Neodiprion lecontei: one gene and its partner. The protein of the gene in region 1 interacts with the protein of each later gene in a biochemical or structural test. Links are inferred from orthologs where the notes say so. Each region holds a gene or a part of one and is shown in the gene's direction. Other genes may lie near its edges.

Region 1 (7,623 bases):
TTTAGCTGCAAGTGCAATCGAAATTGCGAAGTTTTTTAGTATATAAATATGATGAATATCATCACAGATACGATACGTGATAAACATAGAAATGATGTTAACCCCTGTACCTACAATGTCATGGGAGACGTGCTACGTCGATCGGGCCAAACATGAGAATCACGAGTGAGAGCCGTGATATTTACACATATGACCGACCTTGCTGTTGATTATAGGCTCACGCAATCGGAACTTAAATCGTAGGTTAAGAGGTTAATACAATTGGAGTAAACTTTAGGACATAAGGTTGTGCAGTGTCATTTAACAAGTCTGAACCATTAAGGGAGAATACATTGTACATATACAATGTAGATAGCTGATTTTTTATGAAATTCATGTCTCAGAAATTTCTTCAACATTGAGTTTTGCAAACTTTGCTTTTCTTTTTGTTTCCGATCCCCCACATTCCTTACTGCCTTTTCTTCTTCTTTGACAATTGTTCCCAACACTGTCCAAATCTTTTTCTCTCATATCGTGTAATACAGGTGGTGCTACTTCGGACAATTCTATAGGAAATTTAAAAAGCTTAGCTAAACGTTCCTCAAATAATTCCAAGGCTTGTCGACCCTCTGTTGTCATCCTATAATCTTCAAGTTCATCATATTCGTCTTCCACCAAATTATCTGCCTCAAGAATGTGTTTTGATAATAATATTCCACGAAACCCTAGTAAAGTTGTGTAATTTGGAGGTATCAGCATTTCTGGCCAATACTTGGTGAGTTTCCTTCTGGTAATTTTCGAAGATGACTCATTTATACCTGGCATACTTTGCTCTGTTTCACTTGTATCTGGATTGGAAACGACACCTGATGTACTTGGGGCGTTCATATCAATAATTTCACTTGCACTATTTAACTTCCCACTATTTGGTAGGGAAATGAATTTTATCGGCAATAGTTTACCGGATCGTTCAGGTATCTCCTTTGAAAACACAGTATCTGTCGGAAAGTTTTCGGTTTTGCCGATAAATTTCTTGGCCATCTTCTCAAATGCAAGTTCGCTTTGCAAACCGCCCATTTGCGATATGACTAGCTCAGGTGTTTTGAAGTTTTTATCTAGTTCAACAGTGGTTGGCTCGTTCGTAGGATCGTAATTTATTCCGGTAACTGTTCCTTTTTTAATTCGTGAGATAATTTTCTTACCATCAAATGGAAACGGTGGTATAAAACGATCTTCACACTCTGTCACCATAGATGATCCAAACATCTTTTGCCTGGTATGTTCAACCAATTTTTGTTGCATGTCAGACGCCAGGGTTTCATCCCTTGAATACTTTACTAAGGAAGTCAGCAGCTGCTTATCTTTTTCCGTCAACTGTGGTTCCTGGTCGAAATCATCAGGAATATCAAGATCAGCATTCAGCAGTTGCAACATAACGTGAAGCCTCGGAGTTTTATAGTTGAGCTCCTCGGCAGTATAAAATTTGCTGTTTCTTCCAGGTTTCGAAGTGGTTCGATACATTCCTTTGAAGTAATCCTGAAGCTCTATATCAATATCAGATAGATTACTTCTCTTTCCATCGTTTCCATCCTTTTCATACGGAGTTCTCAAACACCTACTTATTTCTTGAAGCCTTTCTTCACCAGTCATCGTTGAATCTTCGATGCAAACTTCTTCAGACTTTTGTCCCCACCTGGGTATGGATCTGAGGGACAAGCCCCGACTCAGATATCGGAGTATCGACGTATGGCGATGTCTAACTTGGACTCTAGACTTGTTGGAGAATTCTTTGGAAATAGCGGACCAATTGTTGCCAAATTTTTCAACGAGATCTACCAGTTTGGTATCGTCTTGTAAAGTCCACTCATTTTTTTTCTCATGCAGAAGTGTTCTATAGTGATCGTTCAACTGCGCCGTAGTTCTGTGAGGCAGCAGAGAAACTGAAATTTTTGTAAAATTAGCCCCAAACTTGTTAACACCTGCAAGTAGGAGCTTGTCCTCTTCTTCGGTGAATCTACCCTTTTTCAAATTAGGAGCAAGACTGTAATTCCAGCGCATGTATATCTGCTGCTTTCGTCTCTGTCCCATAAGCTTAGCGACCTCTCCCCATGGAATAAAATTCCCAGTCCTCAATCCATTTACAGCGTCAATAAGTTTCTGGTCTTCTTCTTTTGACCAAAAACTGTTCCTGTTCAACATGTTGTTTCTAAAATTGGTATTGAATCTAATAAAACATTGATATCCTGTACGATTTGTGCCCAATTTTTCAGCCACTAGGTCCCAGTTTTGAAAGTTGTAATTCTCAGCCAACTTTTTTAGATCCATATCCTCAGCCTTCTTCCATTTACTCTTGTTGATGTCAGGATGTAGGAAAACGTTCCACATTGCTCTGCACTCGCTGGCGGAATGTCTCTCATTGAAATCGGTTACTGCTATTTTCAACCAGTCAAATTCCCTCGATCCTATCGGACCAACCAAGTTCTTGAAGGTCTGAGCTATCTGCTCCGGTATTCTCTTAGCCGTCAGCTTGAATTCCAGGTTCAGAGGATCCTCTGCATAGCTCAAGTGTTGCCCGTTATTAGGTTGTTGTTTTCTTGCTACTTGTTGGGCAATCATCTTAGCCTCGCAAAAAATAGCCTCCCATAGCGTGTTCCGATCTTTCAGAGTCCATCGCAAAGGGCACGGAAGTTCAATGATCTGTAGCTCACCACGATTGGCTTTCAACTTAGCGTCCTGGTTCTTGGGTGCAGGAAAATGACGCTTGTCTTTGAAATATGGGATCCCGCTAATGGTTAATAGCGTTCTAGAAAATGGGTTGGAATTTATCTTTTGAAGTTTTTCATCTATTAGCACTTGTTTACGCTGACACTCTTTGAGCAAGAGGCGAAGCTTTCTTTGAGCATTCACCAAGAGATTTATTATTTTTCTATTTAGATTCAACGCAGCCTCGGGACTCGAAAGATCCAAACTGCTATTGATATTCTCGTTCCATTCGTTATCACTTTCTTCGCCATCGACAAGTGGGTCGACAGTGCAGCAGTCCTGAATCGTGCTCGACGGGGATAGAGGATTGTTCGCTTGAGACGTTGACGGCTCGCATTGACTGTGTTCTGTTCTAAATGGATCTTCGGAAACCAACTCCTTTTTCAAACCGTCCGATTGTTTTTTCGTAAGAACTTCTTGGAGAGCTTTTATGTCGTCGAGTATTACATCCTCGTCCTCTAAATCACTCATTTTCCTGTTCGTAGGTTAACAACAAGGGACGAATCCAATCAGCGGCGTTGTGATATTATCAGTAATTTGACGCTAATTCGTTGGCAAGGTTAAAACCGACGGTAAGAGAAGTTTACGTTTGGGAAAGACTTGTATGTTTGCGGTGTTTGGTATTTCAAGACTTGACGTTAGACCGGAACTCAGGGACATATGTTTCCGGTGTATTAGCCTCACTTCAGTTGCTGCAGCGTGACTTTTTGCCGCGCATGCGCAACTAACGCTGTCTTAAAATGTCGGCTGGGTGAAATACGTTGAATGTTATCATGATAAAATTGATTTTCGTTGGTTAAGTTTACGCGCAATTTCCACGCGGATTGCCGGTCGAGGACGCAAATATAGTTGGAATAAAATAAGGAGTAACTCCGCCGGCCAAGACTCGTCTATAAATCGTAAAACACTGTGTGAGGAGGCCTTATGTCAAGCCAGTCTAATATTGGGTGGATAGCCGAAGAAGTAGCGCAGACGACAACGACGTGCCAAAATGAAGAAACTCTTCTCAAAAATCGAAACAAAGATTGACAACACAGCCAAGGAGCCAAACAGCTATGTCGGCAAAGTATTTGTCGTCGGCCGTCACACCGTTACAGTCGAAGATGTCCTCGCTGAAGGTGCGTAACCCGCGACGTGTAATATCTCGTCCCTCATCCTCGATCGTTTCCCGTCTTGGAATCTCTACTATCGCTGTATGTCGCTATGTTTATTACAATTTCACGGCCCTTTCATTTCTTCGCGCAACAAACACCATTTTCAATATTTTCAACGATTCCGAGCATTCGTACGTACTCCCCATTTATATCCAACTCCCTTAATGGAATCTAATTCGTTTCCGTTTCCAGCCTCGTACGTAATTCGTTTTATTGTTTTTGCAACGCGAATTATTCTCGTCGATTCACTTGTGCAAACACAACGTGGGGTTGGTTTGAAAAACAGAAGGCTCGAAAGAAACCTGAGGAAGGTGCGTAGTTGTTTGTATCGTGCATTTCAGTCAGCCGCAACGATCATTCTTGGCCATTCTAACCAGCATTACCTGGTGCTATGGCCTTTTAATCTCATGTCTCAATCTTATCTACCGGGACTACAAGTTTATCGCAAGACAAGCACCGTTACCGTGATAGATTACCGAGTGTTATTAAACTTTTATGATTGCAGGGATGTTCTCCTAATCTTTCCAGATTTGAATAAAAGCCGTTCACTTCTCTCAAGTTTCTTTATTTTCCTTTCATTACAAATTTCTCACTAATCCAACAAACCACTCCCACAACTCGGTACGCAATACTTATGATTCATTTATTGCTAAACTGGGAATAAAAATGACTGGCGAAAAAACTTTCTTTATTCAATCGCATTGAATCAGTATCATTTTCAGATGATACATTACAGCGCTGCTAAAAATCACATACCAAAAACCCCTCACATCATACGCAACATGCAAATAAAAATTTAAACATTCATCTGCCAAGGTTAAAAATATTAACTCGAGCAAAGCGCTAATATAAAACAATTGGTGATTTACATTAATCAGACTGAATTATTCGATGTACTTATTGAACTGTATCAAAATGACACTGGCATATAATCTAGACTTTCCTGAATTAAAACAGCTCAGTTTCAGACTACAGACATGATACAGCTCTATCGTCATATCAAGTTGACATGTGTTAATCTTACATATTTATTATTATGATACTGACAGAGAGCATGATATGACACAATAAAGAAGGGATCAGAAAAATTTGAAGCTGGATACTTAATTACTCGATTTACTAATAATAAATTTTAGATGTGTTGGAAAAAGCAATTTTCACCTCACTATTGAAAATAATAATTAGATATACTTAAATTACATCCCTAATTCCAGGTGGCTTTGCTGTGGTATTCTTGGTCAAAGCATCGGGTGGGCGTTATGCGCTCAAACGCATGTATGTCAATAATGAACATGATCTCAACGTATGCAAAAGAGAGATACAAATTGCTGTAAGTATTTGAAAATCGCAAACTCGTTTCAGAATTTTGCTACAAACAAGTGCCAATTTTGTAGCAAAAATTTTATACGATGAGATTATGCCCTTTTGATACTCTCGAATATGTAAACCCAGGACATGGGAATATAATTAAGAGTAATTGCTTGTTCTACAAAGGCTCGCTTCCTTGCCAGGTTGTGTAAACACTTGTGATAACTTGTCATATGCCTGTATAGTTACACAAACAGTAAAGTGAAAATATTGAACATGGCCGCTCGGCCAAAGACAATTACATTATCGTTGCTGTACAATATAGCATATCAATTCAATTTTCAGAGCAATCTCAGCGGTCATAAAAATATTATAGGATATGTGGATAGCAGCATCACTCACACTGGAGGTGGGGTTCATGAACTCCTCCTTTTAATGCCATATTGCAAATCTCATGTTCTTCAAATGATGAATAACAGGTCAGTTATACGTGGATAATGTTTGTGATTAACATTTTAGTTTTACTTTTACTGATACATTCAATTTTCGGAGCAGACAAAAGATATTTATTAGATATTCAATTGTACAAACTAGCAATGTCCATCTATAGTAATCTCACACATACCTCTGTTCGTTTCAAATTTAAAAACAACAACGTTTATCCTTTAAATCATGCAGGCTACAAACTGGATTCAGCGAAACTGAAGTCTTGCAGATATTTTGTGACGTGTGTGAAGCTGTCTCGCGTTTGCACCATTGCCAGACGCCTATTTTACACAGAGACCTTAAGGTAGGTCAGTCTTAGAAAAAAAAACTTGTATCCAATTTTTATTTCTTTTACGTGTTGATATTGCTAGTTTCAATGGTGATGTTCTTATCTGTCACAGGTAGAAAATATTTTGCTAGCAGATTCTGGTCATTACGTACTATGTGATTTTGGATCTGCAACTGGAAAAGTATTGAATCCAAGTGTTCAAGGTGCTTCTATAGTAGAAGAAGAAATTAAAAAGTATACAACTCTTAGTTATAGAGCTCCAGAAATGGTTGATATGTACTGCGGCAAGACCATCACAACAAAAGCAGATATTTGGGTAATTTCTGATGATTATATTTTTGAATTACCATGTGAATTACATGTCAATGCAGGTTGAGAAGCTGTAGAAATCCAAATTTTGTTCGTCATTCCCTCTTTTCTAAAGAATTTAATTCTATTACAGGCTCTAGGATGTCTGTTATATAAATTATGCTTTTTCTCGTTACCTTTTGGCGAGAGTACGCTTGCTATTCAATCAGGAAACTTTACCATACCAGAAAGTTCGAGGTAAACTTTTGGCTTATCTTGAATATTTTATTGTAGTAGCATGACTGGTTATATTAACTTTTTTCTCAATTTACAGATATAGCAAAGCACTTCATTGCTTAATTCGATACATGTTAGAACCCGATCCTGATCTGAGACCAGATATATACCAAGTTTCGGTAGTTGCTTTCCAGTTACAAGGCAAGGACTGTCCAATACAAAACCTTCACGTAAGTATTTTTTACTGTTCAATTGAGTGGTCCTAGCAATTGGCAGATTATAATGACTCAGATTCAAAAGATTATTGGAAATTGTATTTTTGTATATTTACAGAAAGCTCCAACCCCGGTAATAGAGTCTCTACCCTGTCCTCTTCTGGAATCTGAAGCTATCAAGCGTTCTTCGGTAAAAATTCAAAAGCTTACACAAGTTACGATGGTTGAAGGGACATCGGTCGCACCGAGACAAAGGCCGAAAGGTCAGAGTGCAGCGGCTGGTCCCATAAGTTTAAGTGGTCAAATCATAGGTCAGATATCGGGGCAGGGCAATCAATTACAATCCCAAACTACACTTGGGAATTCAATTCCCTATACTTCTGTTAGTCAACAGATCCCGCCCATTAATACTCCACAAGCTTATCTTGGACAAAGCGTTCAAACAAACCCGCAACAGCCCTTACAGCTGTCTGCACAATCATCCTTTGTTCAGGTCAGTCCTCACATCTCATCCCCGAACCAAGCCATCCCCTTTGGCCAATCCCAGGCCCCCTCGCCGTTTGGCCAATCTCAGAGTCCGATGATTAGCCATTCTCCTCTCCCTCATCAATCCCCGGTTACTATTCAGGAAAAGAACCCGTATTATTTCGATTCAAGAACGACTGCCTCAGCTGTTAAAGAGGAAAATTTGGATGCCTTATTTCCCTCGTCTGGTGAGTTAATTCTCAAATAATATAAAATCATCAATATCTTAGATACAAATTATTTTATTTCGCTAGCAATCCTTACTATTGTCAAATGTCACTATATATATACAGAAAATGTCAAGAATCTGTATTAAAAATTTTTACGTTGCTTATATTTGTATCAGCGAATTTTATATGCCCTGATAACCTGTTTCATC
Region 2 (7,215 bases), on another chromosome or scaffold:
GCAAATCCACGCTGCGTGGCACTTGTACTTAGTTTATTCATCCGTTGTTACATCTGCAAGATAGAAATCATCGAGTATTTTTTATCGGTGAAAGTCGTGCGGTAAAGCGGAAAACATGACAGCTGATAAACTCGATGGCTGGAGGAATACTGAAATTTGGCGACGGAGAATCGGACACTTTGCGCCTCAGGTAGGCAATCAGGTTTACATTTGTGCATTCTTAGTTGCGTAATGAAGATATTACAGGCGAAGAGGGAACAATTTTCGTCTATTCGATCGAAGAACAGCTTTTTGTTGCTCGTGCACACAGTTTTTCAAAAATAGAAGCGCCACCAATTACAATTTTGATGATCTTAAAACTTTCAATCAATAAAATAATGCACACCAAAATTTTATGTTGAACTCATAAATATAGTATAAAACGCAATCATAATTTATTTTTTAGAATATATACATATTTTAATATCATGAATTCGACATTTTTCGGATTTTGTATTAAAATTATCGAGTTTGCGTACTTGCGTGGGATTTACGCAGCAGTTTTTTGTTCTTCAAAAATGTAAAGAAAATCTCTATCAATATTTCAATTATTCCATTCAAATATTCGATTCTTCAATTACCATTTCTGACAACACTGAATTAAAGTAACAGAAATTTGTCCTTTAAATCGAATTACTTGAATTTTCCGCTGGTGTTTAGACAAAGAAATTTTTTACCAATTTATAATATACAATATAACGTTATCACTTTGTTCAAAATTTGACAAATTTGCGTGTCAGTAATTGCCGTGCGAAATAATTGTACAAATCGGTTTTTGAGTATAACAGTTGCAGTTTTCTTCCCTTTCTCTTAATCCCCCTTGCATTTTTTCCTCACTCCTCGCACTTACAATTTTCCCTTTCTGGTTCCACATTTTTTGGCCTCGATTTCCGTCCCTCAACGCGGGTTCTTACCCCTGAAGAGTTACACTATATTTCTGTTGGTAAGTAAATGCGTGGTAAGAAGTTCTAGGTAGGAAGGCACGTCTGTAAGCCGGGTATTAACGTCACTCGCCTAGCTAGACTTTGCTGGATGCAGTTCTTCTGTTCTTCAGCAGATGTACGACCATTTGCCGTGGCAGCTGCGCAACTCTCACTCTCTCTTCCTCTCGCTCTTTCTCTCTCCCCATCATTAAACGGAGGCAGGCTCACCTCGTCCTTTACCGACGGTGAAACCTTCACTAGGAGTCTCTGCAAAAACCCCCGATTCACGTTCTCTGTATAAGGAAAGATGGGAAAAAAAAGGAAAAAACAAAAAATTTTAAATGGACAAAACGAAAAGACAAGAGAAGAAAAAAAAATAATGAACAAATATGAAACAACGAAGAGGATTCTTTTGTACTTGTTTACTGTTTTTTTCTTCCTTTCTGCTTCTTGATCTTTGAATGTTTGTTAAGGTCAAAGCAGAACCGAAAAATTAATTACCATATTGGGATAATATGTTTGGTAGAACCTCTCCGACATATTCGAAGACCTTTGCTGTACTGAAAGAATTTAGTAAGTTTTGGAAGGTGATTGCGAATGAGAGTTTCCTTAAACTTCACAGAATCGTAACCAGAAAAATGTTTAAAAACTGGAGAAATTTCTGAATATACGCACCGAAAGTCTGAGTGTGTCAGAAGCTTTTTCTGCCCACATCGATATTTTTCGAAATGATAATTTTGACGAATATTCACACATTTCTTGTTCATTGTTGTTATTATTATTATTGTTGTTGTTGTTGTTGTTGTTGTTGTTGTAGTTGTTGTTGTTACTATTATTATTATTATTTTATGAAACACTGATTGAGAATTTTATTAATTTTTTTCACTGTTTCGTCTTTGAAATCTGCGGTAACACTTCAATTTATATGGTAAATGTACTATGAAATTTGAAGTTTTTCGAAATAATGTTTCAAAGTTTTTCTTGTTCTCAGGAATGTTAGCAAAATTCTGGCCGCATAATATTGTTATTTTATGAAATACTACAGTTATAAATTTCACATGAAATAAAACGAAAACTATGTATTTAAACTGCATGTAAAGTTTATTGAATTTTTATTTACGTACAAAATTTTACCGAGAAATTAAAATTTTTTCAATATACCTGAAGATAGATTTATTTTTCACCGTTCATAAGATACTTATTGACAATCGTTAAGAATACTCGTAATCTTCTAATTTATTATTGTTCTTGTAAATACCACCTGAGATTGAAAAAAATAATTCACTTCAAAACATTTCCAATTCATTTTCGAAACCCGTTAAATTATATTTCGTCCAAGGTGTGTGCCTGAAATAAAAAGTTTCCTCAGCGCGTATCTTTTTCCGCCAGAGAAATTGTTGTTGATTATTGTTATCATCTATAAAATACTCGTTTACAATATTAGAAAAAAATTGATACTCCAGACAAAAACGAACTTCGAAAACCGATGTATCTTACAATCTATAAAAGACATTGTCGAAATTTGTCGGTTGCTGAAAAAATTTTCATATCTATACTTTCACTTTCTGCGTTTCATTCCGTAAGTCTTCTTCGTTACCTTACCGTAAGATGGGTATAATATTTACCGATAGGTATAAGGTACACGATGCGTGCCGAGAGAATGTAACTATACCTATACATATATATTATATATGTATGCAACTGTAACTGAAATGCGAGTTATACGATATTATAAATAGCCCTGTGTGGAGGGAACAAGAGAGGCTATGGGATCAGACCTCTCGTTCCAAGCCGATCCCCCCCCCCCCCCCCCCCTCCTGGTGGTCCCACTCCTCGCCGGCATTTCGCCCCACTACCGAGAGTTCTTACAACGAGAACCGGGCAGCAGGCAGAAAGAACGCCTCGTGGAGTACAAGTTTGAATCGAGTCGAACGAGCCGCGTAGTATTCTGGGTACGCGTACCGCATTCGGTTTGGGGGGAAAAACGCAGCGGCGGCCGCTGTGGTTCAGCCGTTAATCGTCATCGAAAACGGCCTCAACGGTTCGATATCGTCCAATTTCCATGGTGTCGTGTTTTGTGTGATATTCGTGTAGAAAAGTGTCGTTCTTGTCGTGTTCGAATCCGAAATTTGGAATTCACCGAGACGTGAAAGCGGTAATCGTTCATAGATTGACCGTCGATATTCGTTGTTCGATCAAGTGAATTTCTCATACTCCGAGTCTGATATATTGCTATTTTTCCTACTACATTGTAAAGAAACGATGTAAAAGAAAAACAACAAGAGACTATGAAGCGGAAAACAAACGACGCTCCCGGATGCGGTTGGAATATAAACGTCAAGTGTAGTTAATGAAATTGTGAATTTCAATGTTTACAGTTGTCGGTTTCGTTCGCAATAATTCTCGATTTAAACGAAAGCAATAAAAGGTTGATTACCAAGTTTGTAAGTCAGGAGGAGAATATCTCTGCAGATGTGAAAGGAGGATTCTTTACCATTTGGGAATATTGATACCAATTGTTCGATTTGCGTTCGATTGTTTGAATAATTAGTCCAGCGAGAGATCATACGAAGTTCCGAGTTCCGGTGGGGTCGCCGGAAGTGTATTATAAACTGAGCGGAACGTTGCGCCAACGGAAAAACGTGGGAACACTTTCAGAGCAGAGGTTTCGTGACAGCTGTTGCACGATTAATAAACTCGTTACAGGTGCTTACCGAAAGAGGTTCGGTCTTCAAAATGGCGAGTGAAACTCGCGCAAACCGAATATAAGAACGGCCACTCGAATCTGAATGTCGATCACCTGAATTTCACATTCAAAATTGATCGTTAAAAATCGTTTCTTTACCACAGACGAATATTTGAACTGTCTCGATGACAACGGAACGTCGCTTCGGGCGTTCGAATAAAACCGTTACGTGGTAGCGAGCCGAGTTATCAAATTTCGAAGGGCGGGAGCAAGCAAGGTTTTCAAATTTCGAACGTCGGTATTATCTCAAGGTGTGACATCTCGTACGGCAGAGTTGAGTCAAGTTTTCAATTGACCTAGATTTCGAACAGCGGGAGCAAGTCCAGTTTCAAAATTTCGAACGTCGGGCGCGATTCGGTTTTGAAATTTCGAACGGCGGGTGGTATTCGAATTCGAAATTTCGAACGACGGAATCGCGTCGTAAGCGAGAAGAAGCCGGCGGTGTAGCAGAGACTCTTGAGTGACGTCATCGTAAGAAAGGCAGGTTGGGTGAGCCAAGTTTGACCGTTTCCCGTTTGTCAGTACGGATAGAAGAAGCCCAGGCGGTGGGCGGCAGCCGGGAATGGCTTCGAAGCTGTGACGTTTTTCGTGAAGTTTAAAAAGAAAGAGGCCGGAAAAGGTCGACGAGGTCAAGTATCGAGGGACGGTGATCGAGAGTGAGTTTCGAATCCCCGAGGCTTGTGTTGTCGGTGAAACGGGAATCGGAGTGACAAAATTGGCTATCGGGCACTCCGATGATGAAGGCGTGAAACGGCGGTTGCAGTTTTCGCGAATTGACAACTGAGCGCGGTTGGCGTTCGATTAACGCAACCGGCCGCACCTGTGCAGCTTCGCGTCCCTGAGAAGGCTGGAAAATATATATATTCCAACACGGATCGACACGAACGTAAACGCGACTGACCGACTACCTGTTCTCGGATATTTCCCCCGACTTACTACCTGAACCAAAGGCATCGATACCATGGGGAACCATCCGTCCGCCCACCATCCGCTCGAAAGAGCCACAACCCACGCTGGAAACACTCTCCGAATATCGGTATGTAGCCGTCCAGCAACTCGAGACGAAAAACTAAGAGCTGGATTGAGCGGTGACGAATCATTCGGAAAATATTTATTCACCCCCTATGAGATAAACGCGATTACGGTATTGTACGATCCTCGGTCAACCGACATCGTTGAGCTCTTAGACAACTCCAAGTTCTTCCGATCGATCGGAGGAAACGAATTCGATGTTAGGTTTTAAAACTGGTCCTGGCTTAATTCTCTGAGAGACGGTAGAAAGCGACCCGAGGAGCCGTTTATTTGTGTACATATATGGGGAGTTCCAGGCCATTTCGACCCCGCTCATGATCCTCACTGTTTTCAATTCTGTTCTCCTATTCGACGATGCGGATAAAGAGGGTTTGCAAAATTGGTCATTTTTAGAGAAATCGATTTTCTTGCGATTGATCGATTCGCGAAATCAATTGACAACGTGGTTAATTTTAATCAATGAAATTTATGTCAGTGAGTTTTTGCGAAAAAACGAAACTTTTCAGTCTAACACTAAAGCGAAAATTAGTGGATATCTGGTTTGATAAATTTAACCAAATGAATTGTTATTGAAACATCTCCAGCGTGAGGATTTTACGGTTCGTGATCAAATCCCCTATTTTTATATCAGATTGCTCGTTTCTTTCAAATTAAATCCACACCAATTTTCATTCCGGAGTGAAAGTTTTTACCTTTCGGCAAAGAATTCGTTATATTAATTTCATTGAAATCAATTATGCGGTTAACTGTTGAATTTCGAGGACCGTGCGGTTGTTGATGGAAAGCCCATTTTCTAAATAAACTGAAACTGTGGAAATTGCATTTTTGCGATTCGCCAAGCAACGTACACTGGAGAATGAAATTGAAGATGGTGTGGATCGCGAGCAAGTCGAAATGTTTTGGAATGTTCCATATGTACACGTGTGAACGTTATAGAAAAAAAAAAAAAAAAAAAACTGAGCAGATGGGTTCTTCCATCTTCTCCACAGAACGTAAGCTTGGAAAGTTTCTCCTAACTCGCAGTTAGCGAAAACGTTATTCACGCAAATTTCTTCGTCAGGGCATCGTTGCGGTTAGGTTTCAATGACTGCGTTGCAAAACGGTACCAAAAGTGTCTGAACGTAACTGATTTTAAACCGTTTATTATTCGACCCAAGATGCGCCAGCTGTGCACGTTTCTGGAACGGAGAAATCTGCCCATGGGGTTCTTCCTATGGGATCAGCCAGGATCCGCAGCTGCGGTTAAAAATGGCTTCGTGTATACATTGAAGTTCTAAAAAAAAAACGTGAAGCTGGATGGATTCGAGATATGGAAACAAGGCTGAAGTTAGTAACTTTGACGCAACGAAAAATTACTATATTTCAAGTTTACAGTGAGTTTGAAGTAGTCAAGTTCTTGTCTTGTTACGACTCACTGAATTTTAAACATTATTGCAACTGGGACATAACGGTTTTTTCGAAACGTTAATCGTCGCAACAACGTTACTAACTTCACCCTCATATATGGAAGAGAAATTGTTGCAATGTTGACACAACGAAATATTGGTGAAAAACACTCTCCTGCAAGCTTGGAATAACTTTGAAGAATTAACGAATTTACAAAACAGTACGAATTCCAGATTAGGGTGCGAATTAATCGCGAATCTGTATCCTTCCGTGAATTATTAAATCATCTGCATTAATTACGCACTCATCATGGCTCGAGAGTTGCTGGAACCGCGTATAATTATCTAGTTTCAGTAACTTTTTTTATTTTATTTACTTTGGGCTTGGCCTCGATCGCCGCACTGACCACATATTTTGTAAACCGTGATTCACGTCCTGCACTGAACTCACAATCGATGTATAAGGAGGGGGAAGAACTTTAACTCTGTTTGTATGTTGTCATAGCTGTTATATGTGAATCGTGTCCCCACGGGAATAAGGCGGAACTAATAAACACAACGCGATCCATTTTCAAATCGAACAACCGACTCGGCCAGTCGCACACGAGTGCAGTTCAAGTTGTGTGTCTCAAATTTCTATCGGTCAAGCTTGATTAAGAACCTTTGAGATTTCACCTATTCTCACTTGTTCGAGTAACAAACGAACATACCGCAATAAAATATTCAATCTAAGTTAAAGTTAAAGCTAAGAAATCATCAGATGGAATCAAGCATCTAAAATTTCGTTCTATCAATCAGCATCGGCCGAATATTTAACCAGCTTAAATTAACCGTTCGCAGTGATTTTTTTATAGTTGACCAAGTTTTAAATTACCTTCTAGGCCAGTGTACGAAAGCTTCGATGTTATTTGCCCAATTACGAAGGATCGTATTATTTTTCTGCGCCGAAAAGGTTATTTAAAATATGTCTCTGTTTGTCGGTAATGTTCGAATTGGGAAATGACATTTGGTGAACTGATTCGTTTACTTAAATAAGAACCTAAATGAGATATTTCCTCATCTTTTGGAATTTGGTGGCTTTTCGATTCTG

What was found.
Region 2: the proteins of BMP-2-inducible protein kinase (region 1) and protein numb form a complex in vitro, tested with the Drosophila melanogaster proteins (3 studies listed by BioGRID). The link is inferred for Neodiprion lecontei from reciprocal best matches to the Drosophila melanogaster genes Nak and numb.

What each region holds. Positions count from the first base shown.
Region 1 is NC_060260.1:5,816,124-5,823,746, forward strand, and holds the start of BMP-2-inducible protein kinase, read left to right. Parts: upstream 1-3,476; 5' UTR 3,477-3,733; coding exon 3,734-3,860; intron 3,861-5,110; coding exon 5,111-5,226; intron 5,227-5,549; coding exon 5,550-5,683; intron 5,684-5,882; coding exon 5,883-5,994; intron 5,995-6,091; coding exon 6,092-6,295; intron 6,296-6,421; coding exon 6,422-6,525; intron 6,526-6,601; coding exon 6,602-6,734; intron 6,735-6,837; coding exon 6,838-7,432; intron 7,433-7,623. Other genes in the region: snRNA-activating protein complex subunit 4, read right to left, coding at 373-3,213.
Region 2 is NC_060261.1:16,630,133-16,637,347, reverse strand, and holds the start of protein numb, read left to right. Parts: upstream 1-2,870; 5' UTR 2,871-4,669; coding exon 4,670-4,744; intron 4,745-7,215.